2 linked regions of the Oreochromis niloticus genome follow. The protein of the gene in region 2 interacts with the protein of the main gene of each other region in a pairwise test. Links are inferred from orthologs where the notes say so. Each region holds a gene or a part of one and is shown on either strand. Other genes may lie near its edges.

Region 1 (3,754 bases), on a different chromosome or scaffold from region 2:
GTACTGCATTAGCAGAAGATGTGGGCAATATGGCCTCAAAAATATAGCACAGTATTGTCACATAATAAAATGAAAGAATACTTTCAGCCTGCGATGTTGTACGTTGGGCCAAAGTTTTTAACCTGTTGCTTAAAACCCTTCTCTGCCACATGTAACTGCATCTGTAATTTCCATCCACAGTTTGCTCTTCCTGTCATGTGGAGTGCGACCAGTGAGTGCTCCAGCTGCGCTCGGTGGAGTCATCTGCTTACATTTGGGTCACACACCACCAGCTGCTAGTATCTCCTCCTTCGTAGCCTGGGTGTACTCGATGATGTGTTTTTGCCTCAAGTGATGAAACAAGTCTGTTATTTCTACATTTAGCTGGAACAGTTTTCTTGCATATTGTGCAGCGCATTGTGCTTTGTTGGACGTCTTTTAGCTACATTTTTTAAAATTGGGATAATGGAATATCAGAGATGATGTGATATGGTTCTAACTGGCAGCATGCTTGAAATCATTGTCATGTTGCTGCTATGAAAATCTAAAGCTAATTTTTGTGTTCACATTTCCACTGTGTTTTATAGACAGCTGCATACTCAGTGTTGTACCTCTCTCCTGACATCCTCTCAGTTTGAACCAAAACAAAATTCAAATTTGCCTGCTTCCTGTTATGTGTAGACACACCACTGGTTCATCAATTGAGTTAGGTGAATTTGCTTGAATAATTCATAGGTCAGTGTTAAGCGGCATAACAAACAAACATTCAGGTAGATGGGGGCAGCTGTGGCTCAGGTGGCAGAGCGGGTTGTCTACCAATTGGAAAGTAGCTAGATGAAAGTACTGTATGGATGTGTGTGTGTGATTGGATGAATGGGACTTGCAGTAGTAAATTAACTGAGCTGAAAGCCACTATAAATACCAGTTTGTTTACAAGTACTGGACTGAAAACAAGAGAAAAAAAAAAACCAAAACGTTGAAACACCTCCAGAAAGCCTGGAGAACTATTGCTCAAGAACACTTTAAATAAAAGAATTACAAGGAAGTCTGTCTCCTTGGAAGAAAAATGTAAAGACATGAGAGGTGGCTCAAGACATTTGCACAGTACTACATACACCAAAAATGAAAACTTAAAAAAAAAAAATGCAATTTAACCCAGAAAATTATGGTTCATGTAAGCTAAGTCTTACTTATGTGTGTGCATATATAATTTTTCTAAAAAAAAGTTATATAAATAAATAATAATAATGATATATTACCAAAGTGTCTGTTAAACTTTCATTGACATCAGTGTTTTAATTATTCTTGACTTACTTCATAAATAAGTGATCAGCGCTACACACAACTCCAAAGGGTACATCCTAAATATAGACTTTATAAAGAATCATAGTTTAAAAACATATTTTTGGAAAATTCAATTATTTTATAAATTATATGTAAGAAGCTGCATAAGCACACTATTAATGTCCCAACAACATTAAACTCAAAATTATAAAACACTGACTGGGATGTTTACAACAACGAATACATTTGAAAACAACATAAATTGTCAGGGGTCATATTTCATATTTTACAGTCTGTAAAAAATAAACGCAAAGCATAAAACACATAAAAATTGTCCTGGTAAAATTAAGACCTGCCCGTGGGTTAATAACAGTGAAATTTTGCTTACTCGGCAGACGGAGTGGAATAAGGTTTAACAGCAGACTGAGGACGTGGGACCCCGAGCTACTGTATGGCCTCCATAACCTCGGCCAAGTGAACTGCAAAAAACACAACACAACACCGGAAATGACATGACTGGCTTCGCAGACATACAGGCAGGCAACAAGCTAAAATAACGCAGTCTTGCTTATCCCTCATAAAACACACCTTTAGAAAAAAGTTTATAACTGAAATATCACTTTAAAGTTGCTCCACAATTTGGCTTCACCAATTAACGGGGGTCTTATTTGTTACCTTACCGGAAGTCCCATCTCAATCGGTCTAACTTTATCTTTTAGCTTCCGGGATGTCAAAGTAAAACCGTGTACGTTATAACAGCTACGGCGGTGCATAGAGTAAAATAAAATGCCCAAATTAGCCTGAAACCTATTGTATTGAACGCGAAATTAATTGCAGTTCCCCTCAAAATAACAGAGACGCGTTTGTTGCATTTTCTTTTAAAATTAGCGGGAACTAGACCACGGACAAGTCAAGTGCAACACTAGCTAACAATTGAAACCCTGCAGCGAAGGAATGACTGCCTGTTCATCACCTTGTCCGAATACTCATCTTATTTAATGGCCAAGTGTTTTCTCTTAGAGTGTGTGCTGGTTCGTAGAAGAAAAACACCCATCAAACTCAGTGAAGCATCGCCAGAGGGGCTTCCATACTGACCCTACCTTCCTACAGCGTACGGATTAACAAATAACGTTATCCGTCAACAGATGCAGGCGATGCTGTTTGTAAACAAATAACCCTTCTTTCCATAAATGTGACAGTCAAGAGAAAAGCTCGCTCACCGCGTCCTGTTGTTCTGCTGTGAAAAGTTCAAGTATGATTTACTGTATTTCCATTTTAAAAAGTACTTCCTCTTCGTCCCAGTCTTCTTTAGTTCCACACTTTGCCGGACTCTGAAGCCCGGAAGTTCAGCCAATGAGCGCGGAGACCGAGCACTGAACTGTCCAATAGCAGCGATCAACCCGAAAGTCTCTTGTCCAATCAGAAATACTCAACCAGATCCAGTAAGCCAATTATAATCCAGGTCGCCTTCCTTATTATTCACAAAATGAAGAAATGTTTGTCTTTAGGCGAGAAAGATGGCTTATAACCCATTGCGAGTGCATGTAATAGTGAGAAACACATTGTCTCGGTGATATAAGGTGTTTTGGTACAACTTCATAAAGATAGATGTAATTATTTAAAGAGGACACTTAAAGAAGACAAACATATTTCTTCATGAATACTATAGAATTCAGTATACCCGTTGTTTGCAACAAGGATTTGGAGCTGTTTGACCTAAGACCTTGCTGTAATATAATATAATATAATATAATATAATATAATATAATATAATATAATAACCTAACACTATAACTGGAGAAAAATTGGTTTCTAATTATTTTAAAATATAAAACAAAATAAAAAATAATCCAAATTTTACATATATGATTCTAAAAATACGGTTTATAATTGAACTTATTTTCATTCACGAGGCGCAAACCTGATAATACAATTTAAATCCCGAGATCTAAGGCAAATATTTCATTATAAAATACTTATAGAAATGTAGCTTAGCATAGTGTGTATAGGGCGCAGTACTGTACGATCAATGGTTATTCTTTTTCAATTGCTCTTCCACTGCTAGCACTGTGCAGCTGCTCTCACACCCCTATACTTAATTATGGTAATGTGGTCAAATAGGCTGAGTTTGCATTTGTAAGACACTGTAATTCAGGGGTGTGATGGTGTAATTAAACCCCATACATAGGAGAACGATCCCAATTTCTCCCCCAAAGTTCTCTATTTTTTTGGTGGTGGGGTAATGTTGGAACCGTGAACTAAACGTCCGTGCTAACGTCCTTGCAATGTTTAAAACATCAAATCTAATACTGGCATTTATCCTGTTCTGTTCATTGCTCTTGTTGTTCCCTGAACCTTTGGTGAAAAGTTATCAATGGCATGATGCACTCGTTCACTTAACTTATATTAACCATCCTCCAAGTACGATGGTATTCCTGCAGGTATCCCCAGATATCCTCACCTTCTCAGCAGGTGGACGATGTAGCGGTTA
Region 2 (3,754 bases):
TACAATGTAACATAGTCAGTGTACAGCTTGTGTAACAGTGTAAATTTGCTCTCACCTCAAAATAGCTCAATACCCAGATGCAACTTGCTAAAGGACATTTTAATATGTTTGGTGGTGCATGTATATACTGGAGCCTGTAAGTTTACTTTTGACCATGTGTGGAAAATCCCAAAAAAAATTCAAACTTATGCTTCCAGTTTTCATTAAACAGATATTCTGTATAATTATTCCACCCTGGAAAAACAAGCATTCAAAGAAATCATTACCATAATTACCATCACATTAATGCCTGTGATTATTGTATGTAAATGTGAGCAGATGGACAGATCTGAAAGTGTTCCTGGTTTTTACCTTGAATTTCTGCTGTAACTTGCAGGACTCTGTCTTCTTAGCCTCCAGTTCAGCCTGACATCTCTTCAGTTTCCCCAGCAAATCTTGATTGTATCTAGTCAGCTTCTGGATTTCATCCTATGGAAAAGAATAAAATGGAATATTTGGTGAGAGTTTTGTACTCTCAGTTCCTCTGAGTGTAATGTAGATGTTACAGAGAAGACTATAAGTGTACCTGAACTGTTTTCATGCTTTGATTAAATTCATCCTGGGTCTTCTGTTGGTTTTTGACACAAACGTTCATCTCCTGCTGTGCCTCTGACTTGGCATCATCTTCCCCCAGCTTTTCCAGTATCAGCCTGGCTTTCGTATCATCCGCTTTTTCGAATTTAGCCTTTAAGAGATATGGGGGGTGTTCAGAGAGAATACAACTGTGGGCAGTCTACAAAGAGACTACATGCTACTCAAATAAAATTATTCTCTCACTGACAGACATTTAAACATGACCAAATATACTCAAGTCATTCTGAATGATATAATACCACTGCTGATAAGTGAGAAAAGTACAGATTTGGAAGAGAAACAAGGCTTTACTTAGTTTTTATGTCCTTATGAGGGAAAAGTGGAAGAACTGAAGCATTTATAAATAGTTTATGATATAAATTTAAAAGAGAAATCCTAAACAATGCTGTGCACTTGGCTCACTGACGAAACTCAATATTCGTTCTGCGTCCCCCTAGTGTTGTATGCCTGCATTTTAGTTGACATTAACCTTATGTACCTTTATTTATTTTCTATATAAACAGGCTCCTGAGCAATCACTAATCAAGATCTGTACTGATCACGGTAATTGTGCATGTTTCACAGGATAATGGTGCAGCCGTTGACAGACTATGTGCCAGTCTTTCCCCCAAACAAAGGACTAAAACAGTGTTTATTCATTTTTGGTCGAGCTCACTTCACCTGCACCTTGTTTGCTAAAGTGTGAGCCATCAAAAGTTCAAAAGCCGTCAAAATAGTTCTTAGTTGAGCAAATATAGGCCTACACCCTATGGAATGCTGCCTGGGCCCATTCCATCTGACTTTCAGTTGCTGAAGCGAGCTGCTTTACGGTTTCTCCCTGTTTACTGCAAACCTCAGCTGCAAACTGCATGTTCTGTGCAGCCAAATATAAGTAACCATTTAAAGTTTAATCTCAAATGTGTAAATAAAATGTATCCCGTGATGTCTCAATGCTAATAAATTATATCAATGAATATTATGACATTTATTATAATATGGGCATTTAGATAGACTCTTTCAGGCTTTTCAGTCCAGTGCGTTTATTTGTAGAACATACTTAGTTCCGGGCTTGCCTTTACGATGCAGGATTGCATCTCGACTTAAATAAGAGATCTGAGAACTGTAATTACTGTTTAAATCACTCAGATCACTCACAGTACTGAGTAAACAAACCACCTTCTTCTATAAACGGAGAATGAAGACACTTCCGGCTGAGCAGTTGTCGTTTTCCCATAAATGTATTTTGACGATTGGATCGTGAACTTATTTTACTATTGAACTAAAACACTTCACGCCTGAAAATGGAAAATGTAGTTCAGCATTAGTTCCGGCCTACCTTCCATGCCTCCAACTCTCGCTTGGCCTCCTTCAGTTCACCGTCTTTATCCAGGCCTCCTTCCTTCTGCCAAGAAAGAATGGCATCGTTAACAACTGTGGACCACTTGTTTCTTCTTAGACGGACTAAAACAAACAAACAGACGAACACATTATTACTCACCTTATCATTTAGCGAGCGACTACCGAAGACCTCAGCCATGGTCTGAATGACAAAAAAGAAACAGATATGAAAACTTCACTTGGTAGCTACGATCCAAAAATCAGCCAGCTGTGACTGCACTGCCTCTTTTTTGAGTACTTATTATTTTCTGTCGAAGTTAGAAAAGAAACAAAGTGGCCCTGTTGTGCCGGAAACAGCTCCAAATCAAAAGTGAAAGTTACAGCCTGGTGTGACGAGCTTCCCGGTATGGAAGACCAAGTGTGACAAAAGTTCACAGTCAAAGAAATAAATTAATAAAAACATCTCGTGTGTGTGTTGGAAGCTACTGATTCTTTAGATAAAGGAAAAAACACGCAATTTTCTGGCTAAAAATATGCATGAAATTCTTAACCCATTTAATTACAAAAACAAACAAACAAAAATATTTTTAAAACAAAAAACGATTTTACATTTTTTTTGTATGTGTATTTTATTTTAAATAGTACAATATGTTACCAGCACCTAAAAAATCCATAGACGGGGGGAACGTGGAATGAAACACAAGAAGCGAAACATGGGAAGAGAAAAGAGAAACAAGACACAAGGACACACACGCACACATAAACACAAACACACAGGGAGGGACACAGAGGTCAAACACTATGGTGTTATTTTTGTCTCACTATTCTGAGAGCACGTAAAAAAAAAAGTACAAGTGTTGCATTTTGAGGAGAAATTTATTCCTCTCGCTCAGGTTTTGCATTTGCTCTTGCTCAGATCTCTGCGGACCTGCTCTCAATGTGTTGCTCGCGCTTTCAACATCTCTGCCCCTGCACGTTCAACTCTTTCTGTACAGCATTATATTTGTGCCACAAAACCAAAAAATCACAGATTTGGATGCAAAAATTCTGATTGGCTGCTTTAGTTTCTCCATTCAGCTCGCTAGCTACTGTAACCAAACCCAGGCAAATATCCCAGTATGCATTTCGTCCAAAACTCAAACAAGGCATTTGCAGAGGAACGCAGAGCGGCGGAGTTTGAAATATTACTCTTTCTGGATCACAAAATAAACTTTTAAGATATTTTCAGGCTACAAAGCAGGCAATATAAGAATAAGAAACTCAGAACAGACTAAACTTAAGACTACTAATGAACCTAAAACATAAACATAATACAAATTAACACCAAAACACAAGAAACTCAAAATGCTGGGTCAACATGACCCAGAACTCTCAGGTGACTACATAATGAAGAGAAGGCCAAGGGTTTGCAGCACTCAACAAAGCAAAGGGTGGCTACTCTCAGGAATCTCAAATATAAGACATAGTTAGAGTTATTTATCAATTTTTTGATAAATAACAACAAAATTATATTTGTATCACTGGCTGTTATGGGGAGACCCTGGAAACTGTTCAGAGAGTCTTTCCTTTATTCTGCTCGTGCTTCACACGTGTGCTGCTTCTGCAGCTCCGGGCTGCACTTTACAGCACAGTCTCTTCTGGTAAAGCTCACGTCTGCTTCTCCGCTGCCACAAGGGAGGAACAATGTTGAAGTTCTTTTCAGAAGTAATCGATGTTACAGAAGTAACAACAAATAAGAAGACGTCAATAAGCTCATCTATTTCTGCTCAGAGTGGCACAGTCTAAAGAAGTCAGTTTCCTGGAT

What was found. The genes of interacting proteins can lie anywhere in the genome.
Region 1: the proteins of nmi (region 2) and brms1 interact in binary tests that used the Homo sapiens proteins (3 or more experiments, as listed by UniProt). The link is inferred for Oreochromis niloticus from reciprocal best matches to the Homo sapiens genes NMI and BRMS1.

What each region holds. Positions count from the first base shown.
Region 1 is NC_031967.2:10,446,871-10,450,624, reverse strand, and holds the start of brms1 (breast cancer metastasis-suppressor 1), read right to left. Parts: upstream 2,634-3,754; 5' UTR 2,484-2,633; intron 2,224-2,483; exon of another isoform or gene 1,852-2,223; intron 1,743-1,851; 5' UTR 1,652-1,742; intron 1-1,651. UniProt on the Homo sapiens protein: Transcriptional repressor. Down-regulates transcription activation by NF-kappa-B by promoting the deacetylation of RELA at 'Lys-310'. Promotes HDAC1 binding to promoter regions.
Region 2 is NC_031987.2:33,068,623-33,072,376, reverse strand, and holds the start of nmi (N-myc-interactor), read right to left. Parts: upstream 2,342-3,754; 5' UTR 2,150-2,341; coding exon 2,111-2,149; intron 2,015-2,110; coding exon 1,949-2,014; intron 725-1,948; coding exon 566-724; intron 469-565; coding exon 352-468; intron 1-351. UniProt on the Homo sapiens protein: Acts as a signaling pathway regulator involved in innate immune system response.